2 linked regions of the Tamandua tetradactyla genome follow. The protein of the gene in region 2 interacts with the protein of the main gene of each other region in a biochemical or structural test. Links are inferred from orthologs where the notes say so. Each region holds a gene or a part of one and is shown on either strand. Other genes may lie near its edges.

Region 1 (10,996 bases), on a different chromosome or scaffold from region 2:
GTGGCATCTAGAGACAGATGTGAAGTCAGAAAAGGACTGGGGACAAGAAGATTCAAGAGTTTTGCATACTATATCTCCAGCCTTTTTGTTCCCCCCAGTTATTCATCTTTTTTAAAAAAGCAAAGATTTAATTGAAGATCCTTTCCCAAACTAAACCTCTTTATTAATAAACCCAAGAAAGCTGTCAAAATAGCCAGGAAAACTGTCAAGAACCTAAATTCAAAAGACACCTTCTCCAAGATACCTTTTGAGACAGTAAACGACACATCACCACCGTTCGAGGAGTTTTCATTCTGCATGTGAAGACGTCTCAGGCACCAACCGTGTACAGATGAGCCCTCCCAATCTGTCTTCTAGCCTGGGCTTCATATCCCCTGCCCCAGAGAGATGTGCAGTCAATAATCCACTCTGAGGAGCACATTTGTCAAGAAATCACTTTATTTTTCAAAGAAGGTGGGGGGAGAGGTACCACTGGAAGTTCAATATTTCAAATAAAATCACAGATATCAAATTCTGTTAAAATCAAATCTCTGTACAAAAAAACTATTTTCAAACCCCAAAGGTCTACATATGTCCACTAAAGACAGAGAAAAATTCTAATAACAAACATAATTCAGTGCTTCAGAATTTGTTTTAACAGACTCTGATCTGAGTGGTCATTACAGCTGGCAGAATTTAAATTAAAATATAAACTTCTTAAGACCACGTTTGTCATGGCATCAGTAAAAACTGACACTTGAAACTTTCCTCATGTACTTGGTACTAAGGGTGGATGGGCCTGGTTTATGGAAACCAGGAGCCCCAGCCTTTGAGTCAGGGCCCCTTTTCACATAGACTATCTTTGTTTCTAGGCACCATCTGTGCCCAGGGACAAAGCCCAGCAGGAATGGCCACCAGTGTGCCTGTGCTTCCCAACGGCTCACACCTTCCTCACCCCAGGCCCCCAGCCCAGTAGCTACCCCAAAGCCAGGAAAAAAACAGCTTTCAGATGTAAACTAAACAGAACCACATCTGGCACAGCCCTAAAAGGTACAGGAATAGAGCAGAATCACAAAGTGGTTTGAGAAGAAGTCTTAGATACATTCCTTAAATGGCAAACGGTGGGTTATATAAATACATAGAAATATACATAATAACATTACCTAAAAATGCCACACAGAGAGCTTAACTGATCATGTAAAAACGTATGCATAAACACAGAACTAAATTTAGACAAATGTTCAAGCTTAACAAAATTTGATATTGATTACGTGTCTTTTTTCCTGTAAATGCCTAATTTTTTTTTTGGCATTGGCAGGCTCCAGGATTTGAACCCAGGTCTCTGGCACAGCAGGCGAGAACCACTGCCACCGAGCCACCGTTGCACTGCCTAAATTCCTAAATTTTTTCAATACAAACCTTGAGAGAATATGTTAAACAACACCTAACAGAGCCACACACACCCTACATTAAGGCGTGTTTGGGGCCACGCCACCCTGCACGTGCTCCGAAGTGTGCCCTGGGAAGAGGAGCACCCAGGGGCCCTTGGGGGCTGAGAGGGCTGTGGGGACCACAGGCTCTCTCTCAACAGGCAAGGCCGAGGCCGGGCAGGGGCTGGAGCCTTCCAGAGCGCACCTGCACTCCCAGACCAAGGATGATGACCGTCCCTCGGATCCCCATGACCCCTTTTCCCTATCACTAAGTGATCCTGATCTCCAGGGCCTGAAGAAAGCCTGCTCCACGTCCCCGAGACCTGAAGAAAGGGCCCCAGTCCAGTCTCCCGGGTGGCTTCCCTGGGTACAGTCCGCTCAGCTGGAGGGTAACCCCAGAAAGCATGTGGGGAACATGCTTTCTGGGTGACGGGATCCCACTCCCCCTGAGCAGAAATGATCTCACACAGGGAGGGATACTAGCCATGCCTGTCCATCAGGTAACCCTAACCCTAAGGAGGGAAAGAGAAGGCCTGGATGACAGTCCCATGGGGGAACCCATTTTAGAGAAAGTCCCAGTACAATAAAATGAATCCAAAACTTTACTAACTCAAAGACCCTCAATCTCTCAACCTCAAGTCATCTGTCTCCAAGTTTTTAAAAAGCTGCAGAACCTTTCCCCAAAGAAATCTTTCATTGACCAGCCCTGCTACATATAAAATGGCTAAGACTGAAACACTGTTTCTGCCCCTTCCAAAGTCCCTGAGCTGTGTTCTGTGAACCAGTACTTCAGGGAAACAGGAATTTTAAGCCATTTCAGACTATACATTTGCTTAATTTCGTGCTGTGGATTTTCCAGAAACCATCACTTTAAACCTCAGAAACAAGGGGCTGTTTGCTGAAGGCAGGCGGCAGGCTGGGTGCTCCGACCAGCAGGACCAGGATGGCAGGCCAACAGGGTAGGTATACTGAGGCTCATCTGACAGAAAGAAAAGCAAGGCCCTGGGCCAGCAATCGTAGCCAGGCCTGCTGGCTAATTCCATCAAAGGACTGACGCTCCCTGCCCCGAAATGTTTTACAATGTCCACCAAATGAACTTTTTCTAAAGTATATTACCACCTTGAGGGCCTTCTTAGAGTTTTTGCAAAACCCAGAGTAGTCACCATTGGGGAACCCCACGTGCCTACTGCTACTCCCACACCTGCCATGGTCACCTGTACCATCTGTGCAACTATTCTACTCGTTTGAGGAAGATAAAAGAGAAGGGCACCTACATTTCCCATGAGTAAATAGACTTATAGTGCAGGGGCTCTTTACTTGGTATCTGTGACCTGGAATGAGAAAAACTATCAGCTGTCTGTGTGCACTAAATGCCAGCTGAAAGGCTGTGTTCTCCAATTACAAACGCAGACCGTAAATGCCACAGCTTTAGGAGGACCTGGGACTCTTCCCCTAAGAGAAATCACAGGCATTTTCATAAAACATTAAGTTGTTTCAGAAATTTCAAAATATCAGTTATGCTCATCAAACTCCAAAATTATCAGATCTGCTACTGGATCTTGTCACTTGGTGAGTTAATAAAGAGCACGGTACAGTAATTTATCACCAATGTGTTTTCCAATATTTTGGTAACTGTATTTTTCAGTGGTAAGTAGCTTCCTTCTTGATCCTTTTCATTTTAGTGTTTCTCTGAAGAGACAGAAAGAAGCCTGAGGGAGGTGGGAGGGAGAAGTAAAGTTTAGGACACCCCAGGGGGCACACTTTGCATCACTTTAGCAGTTTCAGGCCTTTCCTTTTCTAATGTTTCAAATGCAATTATGCAACAAAAGTGAACGTTGTAAGTAGAAAGCTACTATTCATATGTAATACTATTCTAAACAGTTACAATACAGTGCCTGGGTTTAAAATATCTATAAAACAGAGGAAAGGAATCTCAAAAAAACACTTTGGCCCTGGTGTCATTAACAACTAGTCTGTTAAATCACAAGCTTAAAACGCAAGTCATCTTTCACCCACCATGATTCATCAATTCCAAAACACTTAAATCTCCGAAATTTTGTGGGGCTCCTTCAAAGGAAAGCACTGTCAGCGGTATCATTCTAGCTGCATACACAAGAGACTCATTGTCTCTTTGAGTGGCAGACTCAATGAAATAAGCGAGCCAGATATCACCCCCCACCGTAAGCAAATTCAGGAAAAATAGTAAAATGGGTGGGGGGGCAGATCGGAGGCAGCCTGCCTCGTCCAGACCACTGTACCTACCTGAGATTCAGGACATTACCGAGATCTACACTGGCAAACGTACAGTTGACCTCAATTCTTGCTCTAATATTTAGCGAAAGCCCCTAAAGTTACACTTAACTACCGTAAGGGGGAAAGCAACCCCTTCCTAAGGAAATTCGGTCACTCTCATAAATCAACGAATGCTTATACTCTAAATAACTACGTTAAGCTGCTCTTACATGTGACAAATCTATTCTGGAGCGCTGCAAGCCTGCGCCCATGCACCGAACACGCACTCCCTTCCGACCGGCCTCCGCAGGGGCCAAGCATCACAGAGGGCCTCCCAGCGGGTCTCGGGCACCATCAGGAACCGGCATTCCAGGAGCCCGCGGGAGGACAGAAAGCAGACTCGAGCTTCTCAAGCCTTTTCAGGTGACTCACGATTCCTCCCTAAAGGAACGCCCGCGAGCCGCTCGGCCAGGCCACTCCGGACCCTGCGGTCATCCACCCCAAACTGACGCCGCGCCTCACACCTCTGTAACTAATTCCACAAGACCAGCCCGACGCTCCGGCGGGACAGCCCCCAGTGCGACCCCCGTGCACCACCCCGCGCCCCGAAAACGCTCGGACCCGGCGGTGGCCGCGGGCTGCATTCCGCGCGCTCCCAGGGCCGCAGGCCAGGGTGGGACGCGAGGGGAGGGGGAGCAGGGGGGAAGCTGAGAGGAGGCGACCTACGAGGGGGAAGGGCCCTGCGAGGAGAGGAGGGCTGCGAGGAGGGGGGCTGCAAGGAGAGAGGCACCGCGGGGATGCGTCCCGACCTCCGCCCGGCGGCCGCCATCTTCCCGCCCCCACCCGCGCGCGAGCCCGCGACCCCCCCCCACCGCTACGGGGACCGCGAGGCTCGCGACCCGCCTACACCCAGGCCCGGGCCGGCGCGCGCCCCCGCGGGCCTCTCAGCCAGGCCCGCCCAGCCCGCGCGCCCCCGCGCGCCGCCCGCGCCTGGCGCGCCCCCGTGCACCGCCCTTCCACCCCCGCAGGGGCGCGCGCCGCGCTCCGAAGGGGACGGTTAGGAGGGCGCGCCTCGCAGCGGGCCCAGCGTGGCGGCGCCTTCCAGAAATTTCCTCCCACCTCAACCCTCACTTAAAAACAAACTCGGCGCGACCCCGAGTGGGTCCCGGCGTGGACGGCGCCCCCGCCCCGCCGCCGCCCGCACCCCTCCCCCACCGCGCCCCCCTCGCCCCTGCCCCGGGGCGGCGGGTCAAGTGCGGGGGCCTGCTTGGCGTCCCGCCCCGCCGACAGCCAGGCGTCGGGTGGCGGCGGGGCGGCGGGGCGGCGGCGGCCGGTGTGATTGATAGGGACGGCGGCGGCGGCGAGCGGCGGCGGCGGCGGCGGAGCGGTTGAGTGACAGCTTACCTGGGTGCCAATCTTCATCACACTGACAAGCGGCTGCAGCAATCGGGACCCGCAGTGCCGCGCCCGCGTCCAACCGTCACGCCGACGCCGGGCCACGCGACACAGCCTCGCTCAATGGGAGGAGGGCGACGCCGACGCGCGCAGCATCAATATTCACAGAGGGGGCGGGGCCTTCCAGCGACGCGCCCCGCCCCGCGCCCTGCCAGACGGCGGGCGGGGGCGGGGCCTGCGCTGAAGGGGCGGAGAGCGCGCCGGGGGCCTGGTCGGCGCCGGCCCCACCCCAACTCGCGCTGCAGCCGGGCCACGCCCCCTCCGGCCGAGCGGGCGCGCGGGAAGGCCCGCCCCTCCCCGAAGGCGGAGATACCCGTCATGACTATGCAGATGAGGGCGTGGCCTCCAGAGCGTGCCGCGCCCCTTTGCCTGCCACCGCAGCTCGTAGTTGCTGCCCGGCCGAGAGCGGCGGGCGGGGCGCAGATGGGCGAGACTATCTTCCGCGGTCGGGGAGGGGCCAGGGCTGGACCGCGGGCGGCCGGTAGTGTTCCCGGCCCGCCCTCTGAGCCTCCGCAGACCGACGCGTCTGTCCGGGCCCGCTGTGCGCTGGGGACCTGGGCTGGGTCCCGCACCCCGCGGCCCTTTCCGGTCTCGGAGGCCGCGCGCCTGCGCCGGAGTCGGGGCCGTCGGAGTGAGCACGTGCGCGCTGCTGCGGAGCCCGGGGCCGGGGCCGGGGCGGAGGTCGTGCGGGCCTGCGGACTAGCCTCGGCCCACGCAGGCCCGGGGGCTCAAGGGTCCCGGGCCGGGAACGCCGTCTATCCCCAAGGCGCGGGAGCTTCGAAGAAAAAACCCAAACACATCTTCTTTGCATATTTTCGTTTAAGTAGCCAGCCATTCCTCCTGCTTTCCGCCGAGTTTCTACCAAAGATCTGTTACTCTTTCCCCGAGGACCGTGTTCAGGTGTGTGAATTAAAAGGCCGTGTGTAATTGTCGGTGGGACTAGGCGCGTAGAATTCTGCCTCTCATCAGTTGCACTAGGTACAAATTATAGGGCTAAAAGAACTGTCTCGGCACTTAGATTTGCAAAACGGGTTTCCAGAGCTCATTGACGTGATTTCATCTAGAGATGAGCAGTCACATCTTTGTGCTCCTATATTTATCCTGATATTTCCAGCCCTTGCCTCACCAGAGAGGGATTCCAATCCTACCTGTGCTGGGCCAGTTGAGCCTGCCCGGTGGGCCAAACAGGACGGGCACCGCGCGGGTCGTGGAGGGTAGGCAGGCAAAGAGGCGGAGACGCCTTGAGGGGCACAAGAAGTGACTGTTGCCTAGTGCCAGCCTTGGCGAGGGAGCACCCGCTCTGGGCCCGGCCTGTCCCAGGTGTTGGGGGTCTAAAGAAAAGGAGAGACTGGACCGTACCCAACGCAGGTGACCGCAGTCCGGAAAGCAGGCTGTGACCCAGACCTGGCCAAATTCCCTACATGCTGCTTGGCCAGCTGGAGAGGCGGGAGGGGCTGGGGGAGGGCATGGCTGTGGTTGTTCTTAAGGTGGGTGAGGAGCTGGAGGGGCGTGGATAAGAAAAATGAGCAAGACAGCCATGTAAAAGTAAGGGTTTGGGCCTGGTTTTCAAGGCAACCACTTTGGTTAGCTAAACTGCTTGGGTTTGCAGAGGTGTGTGGGGACAGGAAGTCATGAGCCATGAGTGGGGTGGATGATCCTTTTAAAAATATGACCTATCCAAAGAGCAACCCAGGGAATCTTATGAATGACCCAAAGCTTAAATTAGACTTGCCAACTTTTCATTTTGCCATAGTAGCTCAACCCCAGCTGCCCTGTCCCTGGCCGGCTCTGCTGCAGCCACCACTTGCCTTGCTGCTCCTTGGTCACACCAGGCTTGCTGTTCCCTCACCCGAAACACTCTTCCCAACGGCACCTCAGGGCACCCTCCCACCTCCCCATAGCCTTGGTACCAGTATCGCTTTCTCAGAAGATACTCACTGTAGTTTTCTAGGCTTCTCAAGCAAACACCAGGATATGGGAATTTATTTGCTTATGATTTTGAGGCTAAAAGAAAGTTCAGATCAAGCCATATCAAAGTGATGCCTTCTTCCTGAAGACCCACTGATAGGCCTTCTTGTCTCTTGTGCCATGTGACACGGCACCCAGTGGCCGTGGCTGCTCTCTCTCTACTTTTTCGAGTTTCATTGATTTCAACTTTTTGCTTCCCATGGCTTTTTTTTTCTCTCTCTCTCTCTTTCCTTAGCTGAAGTAACCTTTCTAGGACATGGTGGGTACAACTAGTGCTACTACAAGTGCTAGGGAACTAATAATGCTGTGTAACAAATGGCCACAAACTTAGCGGCCTGGAACGACTTACACTGTGATCTCATGGCTTCTCTGGCTTGAGATCAGGGCATGGCTTAGCCGGGCGCTCAGCCACAGGGTATCCCCATCAGGCCACAGACAAAGCGTCAGCCGGGCAGGGTGAAAACGAATCTGTTTCCAGGCTCACCCATGGGCAGGGGTCAGGTCCTGCGGCCACTGGACTGCGGCCTCGTTTCCCCCAGGCCGCTGGCCATTCTGAGGCCCAGCCACGCGGCCTCCACACTCTGCAGCTGGCAGGACGTAAGGGACAAGCTTATGTAATCACAGAAGTGACACCCCATCCTTTCTCTGTATCCTGAGGGTTAGCAGCAAGTCCCAGGTCCCGCCCACATGCAGGGGGAAGGATTGCTGAGAGCGTGAGTGCCAGGGAGAGAGGGCCCTGGGGGCCCGTCCCACAGCCTGCCCACCACAGGTGGCGTTTTTTTCTGCTGTGTAAAAGAGGCAGTTGTGATGGAGCCAGAAGAGCCTTGGGCCTGGAGTCAAAAGTCCTGAATGTCAAGAGAGCCTGGCTTTGCTGGTTACTGAGCTCCAGTTTCCTCCATCTTCAAATAGTGATAGTGCGGCTATCATGGGATTGCGTGGCGGAGGAAAGGAAGTGGCGGGTGGTAAGCACCCAGGGCCCAGTAGACCCTTGGGGGTCAAGGCAGCTAATGCCGTCAGCTTCGCTTCCCCAAGGACCCCATCAGAGTGCAGCAGGGAAATGGCAGTGCAGCCAGATGTGAGGTTTATCCATGTTAAAAGACAGTTAAAAAAGAAGTCATGCCTCCCATACAGATATAAAATGAACACATGGCATGAATTTTAATGAATTCATTAATTAAATGAGGGAACAGGAAGCTGTTGGAGCCGACTTAAAGGAGAATGCAAAGAACAATAAGATTTATGGATCAGGAATATTGGCATGCACTTGCCAATTGTGCAAAACTGGCCTTTGGGTGGGAGGGTTGGTGAGGCTGGGGCCAGAGCTTGTCCCTCCTCCATTCAGAACCCATTTGCATGTCCACAGACAAAAATGATTTGCATTATCCTCATTTCTCTCCAAAGTCAATGAAGGGCTACAATCGGAGACCCCAGAAGAGTGAGCACTCAGGACTGTGGGGTTCCCCTCTCTGGGGGACGGAAATGTTTGGGGAATGGAGGGTGGTGATGGTGGCACATCGTGAAGATAATTATGGTCACTGAATTGTGTACTTGAAAGAAGTTAAAGTGGGAAATGTTAGTTTGTATATATGTTACCATATATATATACCACAGAAGAAGCAGAAGAATGCCTACTTGCCCACTGGACACACTTAGTACTATTTTTTGTATGTGTATTCCAAATTTCCTACAGGATCTTGGGGCCTAGTGGTTGAGGAAATCCTAACCTAGAAGCACAGCTGACCAGGCAGGACTGTCAGGGAAAAGAGGTCCTGCGCTTTGATCAAAGCACGTGTGCCGGTTTGAATCTGTTGTGGACGCCAGAATAGCCATGTTCTTTAATAATCCTCATTCAATATTGTTGGGTAGGATCTTTTTTATTGTTTCCATGGAGATATGACCCACCCAGTTGTGGGTGGTGACCTTTGATTAGACGGTTTCCATGGAGATGTGTCTCCTTTCTACCCATTCAAGGTACAGTTGCTTACTGGAACCCTTAAAGAGGGAACCATTTTGGAAAAAGCTTCAGAGTCACCAGAACCAACAGAGCCCATGCAGGAGAGACCTTTGGAGATGAAGAAAGAAAATATCCCCGGAGAAACTTCATGAAATGACAAAAACAACAGAGAGAGCCAACAGAAGCTTTAGGGTCAACAGAGAGAGCAGAGACACGGATGTTTAGAGATGCTTGGAGCCTAGCAAACATTGCCGTGTGTTTTCCCATGAAATGTTAAGCCAGCCAGAACCTGCAGAGAGCCAAGGGAAACCAAGAGTTGAAAGCCAGCCCCAGGGAAGCAAAGTGGAGACCCCCACATGGACAGAGACTGAAAGCAACAGAGCCCAGAAGCAAGGGACCAGCAGATGCCAGCCACATGACTTCCCAGCTGACAGAGCTGTTCCGGACAGCATCAGCCTTTCTTGAATGAACGTGACCTCTTGTTGGTGCCTTAATTTGGACACTTCCACTTCCGTAGAACTGTAAACTTATAACTTATTAAATTCCCCTTTTTAAAAGCTGTTCCAGTTCTGATGTATCACATTCCAGCAGCTTGCACACTAACACAGCATCTAATGCATACGTCCTTGCTTCGGGAGAATTCTTAACTGCGTCCCTTCCCACGGATGCAGGTGTTCCACAGTCCAGTTGGAGTGAAGCTTTCGGACAAGTTAGTACAGGTCCACACATGCCCCTGCCGAGGACACTCAGAACCGGTGGGCTATAACCTCAATCCCAGAATGATTCGGCCTACTAGGGGTGTCCCTTGGTCATTAACTTAAAATCTGTTCATCAGTAAAATGTTTATGGGGGTCCACCCTGGATAGAGCATGGTGGTGGGTCCCTGGTCTCCCATGCTTACTGCCCACAAGGCTTGATTTACCTGAAATTACAACCAACAACTCAAAACACTGCAATGGAAACAAAGAACACTGGGCATTACATTGATTGTGCAGGGTTTTGGGCAACTTTCCTAGTGAAAAACAAGTTTGATCCCACCATCTCCCCAGAACAGCCAGGTGGACATCTAGAAGCTTCTCTATGTGTCTCCTCTTAGACAGCATTTGCTTCTTCATGGTCTCAGCTGCCAAGTACTACCCACGACCAACTGCTGCCCAAACCTCAGACAACCGGTTCCTAAAACTGGGAGGCCTGCAGAGATCAGGAAATTTTTTTTTGGGGGGGGGGGGGTACTAGAACAGATGCCCCAACTGTAGTAGCTACAAATGGCAGAGCAGCCATGCTGCCTTCTTGCAACCAGCAACTTTTCAAAATGGAGTACTGTTTTAACTCTCTAATTTAAGAATGGGCCAGTTTCTATACTATATTCAGGCAAAGGATGTTGTCTATGATGTCATTTTTGTAAAAATATTTTTCCTGTCAAAGCCACAAAGTAACAACAGCTGGATCCTCCACAGGGCTGAGTAGACTTGGTCCCCCAGCCTGCTGCCCAGTGTCGGGGTCCAGGGATGTTGGTTGACAAAGCCCTCTCTCCTGGAAGCTTCCAGTTTCTTCTGTTTGGGTATTCCTTACTGATCTGAGAAAGAAAGGGAACTGTCAGAATCACACTATGCTTTGGTGTTTGCTACATGTGTAGGGAGTTGAATGAGGTGTGTTCCCCAAAAGATTTGTCCTCCCAGAATCTCAGTACGTGACCGTATTTTGGGTAAAGGTCTTTGGAGAGATAATTAAGGGAAGGACCTCAAAATGAGATCATCCTGGATTATGTGAACCGTAAAGCCAGGTATGAGTTCCTTAGATGAGAAGACAGAGAAGAACATATGGTGACAGAGGAAGCAGAGATTGGAATTATGCAACCACAAACCAAGGAAACAGGGATCGCCAGCAAACACCAGAAGCTTGAAGAAGTAAGGAAGGTGTTTTCATTTCCTGGGCTTCTCAGAGCAAATACAATGAATTGGGTTGGGTTAAACAATGG
Region 2 (10,158 bases):
AAAAATATCTTGAATCTAATAATTTTTCATCATGTTCAGAACCAATGTACTTGGCCATGACTCCATCATTTTGGGCCCAAGCTACTGCAATAGATCCCTACATATTCCTTCTGCTTTCACTCACCCTCACCCCTGCATTCATTCTCTGCTTCCAGGTGAATAATACTTTTAAACAAAAGTCAGCTGATGTCACTCCTCTGTTTAAAACCCTCCAAAAATCTTTATTTTTATTAATACAAAACTTATCTAGATTTCTGAACTCAATTCCGTAACACTCTCTTTTCCTGCCATATGGACTCTAGTACTTGTCCCTCAAACAATCTAGGCCCATTCATACCCCACTTAGTACCTTGGAATTTTATCTTCTGCCTGGCCTCCTGTGGCTTATTCCTTATTTATTCATGCCAGGACTTAAATATCCCTACTCAGCCTGTCCTCTTTGATCACTCAATCTAAAGCCCCTCCCAGGCTACTTTCTGTCCTCCTTCCAATGTCATTGTCTTGAAAACTTATCATTCTCTGATGTTTGCATTAATTTATTTGTTCCACTATGTCTTAGATTCTTAGGGCTGCCACAATAAAGTATACAAACTAGGTGGTTTAAAACAACAGAATTCACAATTCTGTAGGCTGTAAGTCTAAAATCAAGGTATTGGCAGAGACATACTTCCTCTGATGTTTCTAGAAAAGAACCTGTTCCATGCCTCTCTCCTGGCTTCTGGTAGTTTGTCAGAAATCGTGGGCTTCAGATCTCTGCCTCGGGTGTCACACGTTTATCTTCTTTCTGTCTTTTTGCCTTGTGCAAATTTCTTCTTCTTTTAAGAACACCAAGTCATATTGGATCAGGGGTCCCTGCTACTCCAGTATGACCTTATTTTGATTTGCCTAATTCCATCCGAAATGACCCTATTTCCAAATAAAGTCACATTCTAAGGTACTGGGAGTTAAGACCTCAGCGTATCCTTTTGGGGGACATAATTCAATCTATAACACACTAGAATTGAAGTTTCATGAGATCAGAGACTGTGCCTGGCATACTCACTGCTGGCATATTCACTAGCGATCAGAAAGTACCTGGCATGTGATATATTGTTAACAAATATTTGTGAAATATATGTCAAATGTCACTCTTCTGCTTAGCACTCTCCAATGGATTTCAAATGCATTTAGAATAAAATCCAAACTCCTAACAATGGCCTAAAACTCTAAATGTTATCTGGGCTTTGCTTCCTTCTCTGGCTTTAGCTTAATATGCTTTTTCTCTTCCTTACTATGCTACAGTGTCTCTGGCTTTTTTTCTCTCAAATTATACAAGCTCAGGCCCTACACACACATTGCCAGTCAGGTCTCCCCACCCTTCTTCCATCCCCCCACCCCACCCCATTGCCCTTTCCAAGATATAGGCATATCTGGCTTTTTATCATTCAAGACTAACCCAAATGTCAACTTCTAAGAGAGGACTTCCCAGACCACCATATTTGGTGTTACTTCCCCAACTCTATGTCACTTTATCTTGTTTCATTTTATTCATAGCACTTATGAGCCCCTGAGGTTATGTATTTCTTTATTTACTTATTGTTTATCTTCTACACTAGGATGCAAATTCTTTGAAATCTGGGAATCCAATTTGTCATATATTACCAGTGCCTGGAACAATATAACAATGTTAATGTTCTGCGGCAACTCCACCCTCTTTCTTTTGATTTGCATTCCAGGGTTGATACCTGTGGCTCTCAGCCATTATATTGGTATTGAATTGACTATCATTCACTTTCCATTCCTAATGGACTGTTTATAGTCTGAACTTCTGTTTAGGCAACAGAGGTTGATAATCCCTTGTAAACCCCACCTGCTAAGAGTTGCACAGTTTCCCCAGACCAATGCAGCATTGAGTTGTACCACTTTACTTCCTCATTCAAGGTTAGAAGATGTAACCTTTTGGGGGGTCCAGAAATTTCTCGGGACTCTGATAAATTGACCGTGTTGTAAAAATAATGCACAGCATCACATACCAGTAAGTTTTATATATAATTTCCAGGGAGTCACAGAGCTCCTAAAGCGCATTTATGTTCTAATCTCTGCCCTAATATCCTTTCCCAGCACTGCTTCATGGCCTGCCCTATGAGGCAAAGAAACAGGAATAAGCTGGGAGGGGACAGATCTCTGTGAAAAAGATGAAGGGGTTTGGACAGAAAAAAAGGAAGAGCAAGAGGAATGAAGGAGGAGAACAGAGTGGAAAAGCTGAAGAAAAGCGTGAAGAAGGGGGTAAAAGAGTAGCTGAAAGAGAAACACAAGAATCCTTGAATACCAACTGCCTCAGTACTATCTCTGGTTAATAGCCCTGGTTGTGACCCTCAGAGAATTTATTTTCCCATGTTGATAGCAGAGTTTCAGATATTTAGAGGCCAAAGCAAATATATTCCTAAAGATATATAGATGAACATGTGATTAGATGATTTAAGATCATGTGGTGGTGAACTTATTTATGTGACATGCAAGGAGGCCCATCTCTTTGCAACAATTTGTTTGCTTGGGGAATAGTAACTGGTCCTTGCACACTCCTCATGCACTTCCCTCTTTGTCTCTTAACAAAGATGAGAATATAGAGTAGTGGGCTTGTAAGGAAGTTTCAAAGAGAATACTCGGGTTTCCTAAATATTTGACATACAGGTCAACAAGGTAAAATGACTTTGTAAACATGTGAGAATGAGACTGAGAACTACTTTGCTAGTTGGCCAAGTTTTGATAATGACTCATGTCCTTAAAACTTGATTCAGAGGGCTTTAGTTACTAGTCTGAAGAAATACAGCATGATTACTGGCATCATTCATTCTTTCAATGCAGATTTGTTAAACATCTATTACAATTAAGGCACAGCTAAGATATGGAAGGTATAAAATAGCATTATCCATCCCTTGTCACAACCTATAAGGTAAGGAAACTGAATGTATAAGTTTTTCCTCGGGGTATAATTTTAGAGATTTCTTAATGTAAATAGAAGAAGATTCTAATTTTTATTCTGTTTCACCTACAATAGTTTCTTCTCTTAACTTCATTTTCTGTAATGTATTGAAAATAAGAGAGTGTTACATCCATACTTTGTCCAGTAATTCAACTTTGAGGAAACTTGGTTTCTTCCTCTGCAAAATGGAGATTATAACCTCACTGGGAAGTTGTAGAAATTGTGCTCAACTGTTAAAATTTAGTGATAATGTACATATTGTGCTTGAAACACAATCAGCACTCAACAAATTGTATACATAGCCATAATTTTCTGTTAATGCCACCACATCTTTCTTGACCAAGTTTGAAAATATTTCCTTTATCCTTCCCACCCATATAAAATAAATTATCTTTTGGCTCTACTTTGAAAATGTTCCTTGTGATTGTCCTCTCCTTTCTATCTCTACTGTCACTGTCCTAATTCAGGCCTTACTTAATTTTCCCTACTCAAACCATTTTGTGTTGGGCAAACAGGTAAGTCTTCCTGAAACATGCTTTTCTGCTTCCTTGTTTAAAGCAAACACTTCAGTGGCTCTCCAGTGTCTACCAGCTAAAGCACAAACTCTGATGTTGAAGGTCTTCACAACCATACCTTTCTAATATTCTTTTCATTGTGCCCAACAGAAACCCTGTGCGACAGTCAAATTCGTTAGCCTGTCCTCCAGATCCAATTCTTTCTTCGGATCTACCTTGGAACCAATTTCTAATCACCCAATCATGTTGTTTCTAATCCCTTATAGGACTTCTAGAACATGGTGACACTTCTGTAGCATGTATTATATACTGAAATGTATTTGGATAGTGCCATAGGATAATGGTTAAAAGCCTAGTTACTACGGCCAGCTGTCCTGATTCAATTAAGAGACCACCTTGAATATAATACCCTACCATGGTAAGCACTCAATAACATTAACCATAATAATTATTATTGTTGTTGTATACATTTCTTGTCTCCCTAATAAAATGTTGCTAGAAATAAAAATCTTTGTATATCGATGGTACTTTTCTCAATTTTTGCCCTGTGAGCTTTTATGAGGCTTGCAGTTTGAATTAGTTGCTCACAATGGCTTTCTTACAGGTTCTGGGTTGACTTCCTTTTCTTCTTTTATGATGTGATAACTTCCGTTGCTGTAAGGGCTATGCTAACTCACACTCACTGTGATGTGTGATTTGAGCATACAGTTTTGTGCCCAACTTTTGTTTAGGGTTGATAAAACAAATAGTTTAACACGAGTATGTATGTGAATAAAACAATTGTCCTAAAGTAATAGGACATTGTCTTACAATTAATACTCACTACTGAATGTTCTCATGTGAAGAAGTGCCAAGTAGCTTATTAAGAACTGCCTCAAAAAGCTTTCATAAGTGCCCCTTATCTTGCCAAACTCGTTTTGTATAATGATTGGGAAAGAGGCTGGATTGATGAAAGAATAACATTTTATTTGAGATCTCAAAGCATTCAGCAAGACTGCACTCCATTTTGCAGACTGGGAACACTGACGTTTGCAGTGCTTCAATACATTTCCTTTGCCATCTAGGGAGAGGGAAGGACAAGCAACAGAATATCTTACATTCCAAAATATGCTGGGCTTTTCCTGAGTAATTGCACTTCTATTTTATCTTATGGCCATTGTGAGTGTACAACCAGACAGATTTCCCCTTCTGCCCTGCCTAATGAAAAAGAGTCAAATTTCTGGTTTATCTAGGGTTAGAGTATAAGACTTTAGCAACAAGTGCATTTCTTTTCCTGATTCCATGTTATCCTTATTTTTCCTTATTCTTTCCTACCCATTTTCAATTTGAGTCATCTTGTTCTAATATATATCTTTGTAAGGATCTGAAGTCTCTTTTCATACAAGATGGGCAATAAATACATTAAAACTAGTTTTGACACTCTTCACTTTTCCATTAGACTAAGGCTGGTTGTATAATGCAAACGCCACACCCTTTGGAGAGACCCACACTTGGGTTTGAATTCCAGCTTTGATACTTAATAAAAGTGGGACCTTGGGCAAATTACTTAAGCTTTCTAAGTTCCCTCTCTATAAAATGGAAATAATAGTTCAATAGTTCATCTCACAGAGATGACTTGTGGATAAAGTAAGACAATTCATGTAAATTACTTGGTGCGTAGTAGGCATTCAATAAATGTCAATTCCTTTCTTCTCCTAGTTGCTTGTTAAACTATATTAAAAACTAGAACTGGACTGTGATAATGCATTTCTTAATATTAAGTATTTAAGCCAATAACTAATTTCCCCCAGGGGGGAACAGAGAGAAATGTTTGAATTAGTTTCATTTGGGGAACTTATTTTCATAATCTTTTTTTCTTCAGCATGATTTAGCTTCACGGTCCCCAATTAGTTTTTATGCAACAAAACGTCACAGTTCAGTATTCCTCTTAACTCTACTGTGATTGTTGTTTTTATCTATTATTGCATCTGCTGCTTATTAGAGATCATTATTAGTCATATTAACAGTTGAATTGGTTTTTATAACTCCTTCATACTGTCAAATGTTTGCTCTCAACAATTTCCATGAGTTCTAAGGATTTAAAAGAGTCAAGTTTTTAATGGCAACGTTACAGCTCCAAACAAAACAAACAAGCCAAAATAACCCGGGCAGAAAAAAAAAATCTCCCCTCGACCGTGTTCTTTCGTGTTAATTTTATACGTTTGCAATTAAGTAGAGCTACGTTTGCCTTAAGGCCGAAATCAAAATGTGCTGAGATCTGAGAAAGGAAAGAAAAGTGGAAAGTGACTAATTGAGCTGGAACTACGGTACCGTTGCACCTTTAAGGCCTGGAGACTTGGTATTAGCTCGGCCTCCTTCCCAGCCCACCTCTGAACTCTGATTGACAGGTCGCCCGGCGAGGAGGAGCAGAAGGAGGCTGAAGAGGAGGTGCAGTGAGGAAAGTAGCGAGAGGAGGGGCCCGTCTTTTCTCTGATGGCCAATCAGCGGAGGGGGGCGGGGCTCCGCACGCCCTCCTCCCTCCTCTTCCCCGCCTCCTGGTGTCCCCGCCCCCTCTCCCCTTTCCTCTGCCCCCTCCCCTATCCTCCTTCTCGTCGTCCTCCTCCTTCTCCTCCTCCTCCTCTCAGGCTGTGGTTTTTCTGTATATGTTTCTGGAGTCCTGAGCCTGAGCTAAACAAAAGCAGGAGGCTGACGGGGTTGCTGGAGTTTGCAGAGACACGGAGGAGAAGAGAGCCTGTGCTTTGCCTGCTGCCGCGGCTGGGGGAGATCTGGCTTTTGCAACAGCCCACCCCCTTTGAGATCACTCTGGCCCGGAGTGGGGGTGGGGGCAGCGGGGGGTGGGGGGGGGAAAGTTTGCATTGCAATCCCCCTGCCTTCCTTCCCTTTCTCCCGATCAATGCATATTTGCAAAAGGATTAAGCTACAGATTTAAGCGCCGGGACCCATTTCTGCTTTGCAAAGGAGACCGGACTGGGAAACCAAAAGCCAGCTCTGATTTCTTTTCGCCAAGTGGGAAGGTGGTTTATTTTTCTTGCTTTTTTGGAGTCAACACCCTTCCCCGCCAGCCCTTATCCCCACCCTCACCCCGCAACCCCTTCACGCCCCCTCCCCCTCCCCACTCCCCATCCTCCCACCATCCTCTAAAGAGGCAAAGGGATTTTTTTTTTCTTTTGGTCTTCTTTTTCTCTCCTTCCCTGTTTATCCTGAAAAGGATTTGAAGACAGCTTGAAGGATAAAAAGCCTTGGTGCTTTCCAGGAGCCAAGCCGAGAAGAAGAGGAAGAGCCGGGGCCGCCGTTGCCTTTGGAGATGGACGAGCAGCCCAGGCTGATGCATTCCCATGCTGGGGTCGGGATGGCCGGACACCCCGGCCTGTCCCAGCACTTGCAGGATGGGGCCGGAGGGACCGAGGGGGAGGGCGGGAGGAAGCAGGACATTGGAGACATTTTACAGCAAATTATGACCATCACAGACCAGAGTTTGGATGAGGCGCAGGCCAGGTGAGATGGAGGCTTTTCTTTTCCTTTCTTGGGTTTTTTTGTTTGTTTGTTTGTTTTTCCCCCACTCGCTGAGGGGAAACAATGGGAAGCGATCACCACAGCGCTTTCTTTTTAAATGTTATTTCTTTTCCCATTTTGACGAGCAGCTACATGGCGGAGGAGTAAAATTTGCAGGAGCGTTGTTATCGAAAGTGTAATCGCCCATGCCGTGATGTGGCTGTGTATACATATATCTAGATAGATGTGTGTGTATGAATATAGAAATACTCATATATAGCCACAAAAACATTCAGGGACGCTGAAAATGCTGCCAACTGATCCAGAAGCGGCCCTCGGCACTATTTACTGCTTTTAAAAAAAGTATCAGAGAAAGCAGAATTGTCAAGTTTTGAGCAGCATTCCATGCCTTCTTATTGAGGGACTCCGTTACATTACAAATAAAAGGTCCCAGGAACACTTTATTTGCAAATTTAGTTGTCTCCTTGCCTAATTCAGCGCAATTTTCTTTCTTGACTTACCCCTCCAAAATTAATGATATTTTCCCCCTTTATTCCCCCCCCTTCAAAAATCAGGGCATTTCTTTGTCAATAGTTGTCAGCTATCCGGAGAATATTTTGTTTTCACTTAATTCTATCTCAAAAAAAAAAAAACTAGTGGAAAGAAAGAGAATACAATTTTGCATTTAGACATATTTGTTCGGTCTAAGAGACTGAGATAATTCTGTTTAACTTTATTGTCTCAATTTGAGTCGGTTTACTAACCTTGGGTGACACGGACAGCTCTGTATGGTCCTTTAAAAAGGGGTGGGGGATAAAAATTAAGCATGCTCTTTTCCCCATGCTTTCTTCAGCACGGCTTAAAATGCAACTAAATAAAAAGGAAAGCATGTGTGAATTTTATGTATTTCAATACTGTAGGGCATGAAGATCTTCATTAAGGAAAAAGAAGCTGTGAAGCTTCCCAACTTAATCCACCGCCAGGTATATAGTCCTCCACTCTAGGATTTTACAGTAAATTCTCTTTCAAATAAAACAGACTAAGTGGCAACCTACTAACAGCTTGTCCAAGGCGGAGCTCAAAAGGGAGAATTTTAAAAACTAATGACCACATATGTCCATTCAATTACCCAGCTTTGTTAAATCTCAGAAGTATTCTCCTCATTCTGAAAATCTTCTAAACATATGTACATCATTCCTATATCGCAAATAGACTTAGTTATAGTAGTAGAAGACATCATTACATCATTATATGTATTTTGTCTTAAGGGAAATAGAAGTTTGAGTTGAGAAAATGAGAAGTGGTAGTAAAAAGCATGAATGCATGAATTACAGTCTTATTTTAGCTGTAAGCACATGCAACATGTAAACTCAAAAGTACTGAGCTTTACGGGTGCTCGAAAACTTGGAAATGTTCAAAGACTCGAACTATTCTAATTTTTTTTAATGGGGAAAAGTTTTCAGAAATTAATTGCTGTTCTTTGTGAATTTTATTACCTGTTCTCTTTTGAATTGGAACAGATTTCTCCATTACATTGATCCAGAAAAATACTCTGGATTATTTGCAAGTTTGTGAAGTGGAAGAGGCCAGTAAAAACGGTTACACACTACTTTTCTGATGTGTTGTCCTTCATTTTTTATGAAACTGAGGACAAACATGGCTTTGGGGGGGTCCCCCTTTTAAAGGCCTGGATGCTTAGAAAGATCAGACCATTTGGGGATAGGGAAATTCTCTGTTCTAGTACCCCATTTGTATGTTATGGAAATGGAATATTTGTGTAAGGCTGTGCAGGGATTTTTGTTTACACTTGGGCCTATGTTTAAGAATACAATTAATGAAAACTATTTTAAAAGATCACAAAAGAGGTCTTGAGTACATTAAAGAAGTCTTTTCTGCCCTTTCTCTCATTCCATATGAGGACTGATTAAATCACCAGTCTGCTTTCTTTTTGGTTAAACGATGTAACTCTATGTAGCAAATACTATGTCCTTTTTTCTTTTTCTCCAGTCATACCTTCATGATGTATATTAATGATTTACTCTGTAAATCATTAATATTTTAGACACAGACTGTGAGTTTATTTGGATAGTCATGAATTCTGAGCTTGTTAAACCTCTGCTCTACATTATTTACAGTATGCTTCTGGTTCATGAGGATGTGTATCTATTTTTTAACTTTCAAAGGGTTTAAAAATAAATTGCATGTGTTTTGAGAGCCAAGGATTTCCATTTATCTTTACACATTCATTTTAGTTAACAGAATTCCCTTGACTAATAGCTGATAGGACCAGTATTTTGTTTCCAAAACAATATCCTTCTGCTAAATGATTTTATAATAAAATAAAGGAAAAGGTATTGTTTTGTTCCTCTGGTGCATTCTGAATTCAAACACATGCAAGAATCAGGTAAATCACTAATCTAAAAGGCAGAATAGTATTTATTTTTTTCCCCAATGGGTGCAAGATTCTAATTGTAAATAATTGAATTTCAACACCTGCAAACAGGCAGTGTGTGCACAAGAGGCATAATGTGAACACCGAGAAATGAATTTATTCCCCATATGGGTATGTTTGCCCCCTGGCAATGCATTTCCATACTCTTTAAGTTGGGGACTGAAATTTTATAAATTGACAGTTCTACACAGAAGACCTTTCAAGCATCTTGTGTTTATGAGAATACAGGGGCATCTGCGGAATGAATTCGAACACATGGATGAATTAAATTTGAAAACACACACACAGACCGGGAGGCAGACGGCTCCTAGGCTGTGGTGGTTGCATAGATTATTCAGAACTGTTAACACATGCATTTGGCCTTGCTGTACTCATTGCTTTGGCTAGGAGTATTGGTTTAAGAATTCCACTTTGATTAAACTACTTAAAAAACAACAACAACTTTGTCTAAATGGGCATAATTTAGGTTAGTTCTGTTCTGCAGTTAAATCCCTATTCTCTCCCTACTGATGAACAGTATTTCTTTTTCTATGGTGGGACTCGCATATTAAGTCATAAAAACAACCGAAGCATGCCACAGAGTTACGCTTGGGATATAATTTTGGCTAAATGTTTAAATTTTCTTCCCTGGTGCATTATCAGCATTTGATCTTGAAAGTCTACCTAAGCTATCGTGTTGTTTCTTTCTTGCAGAAAACATGCTTTAAACTGCCACAGAATGAAGCCTGCCTTGTTTA

Evidence for each region.
Region 1: the proteins of PBX1 (region 2) and PKNOX1 form a complex in vitro, tested with the Homo sapiens proteins (2 studies listed by BioGRID). The link is inferred for Tamandua tetradactyla from reciprocal best matches to the Homo sapiens genes PBX1 and PKNOX1.

What each region holds. Positions count from the first base shown.
Region 1 is NC_135336.1:100,389,922-100,400,917, reverse strand, and holds the start of PKNOX1 (homeobox protein PKNOX1), read right to left. Parts: upstream 5,175-10,996; 5' UTR 5,046-5,174; intron 4,205-5,045; exon of another isoform or gene 1-4,204. UniProt on the Homo sapiens protein: Activates transcription in the presence of PBX1A and HOXA1.
Region 2 is NC_135330.1:17,806,393-17,816,550, forward strand, and holds the start of PBX1 (pre-B-cell leukemia transcription factor 1), read left to right. Parts: upstream 1-6,044; 5' UTR 6,045-6,491; exon of another isoform or gene 6,492-6,730; 5' UTR 6,731-6,781; coding exon 6,782-6,972; intron 6,973-10,114; coding exon 10,115-10,158. UniProt on the Homo sapiens protein: Transcription factor which binds the DNA sequence 5'-TGATTGAT-3' as part of a heterodimer with HOX proteins such as HOXA1, HOXA5, HOXB7 and HOXB8. Binds to the DNA sequence 5'-TGATTGAC-3' in complex with a nuclear factor which is not a class I HOX protein.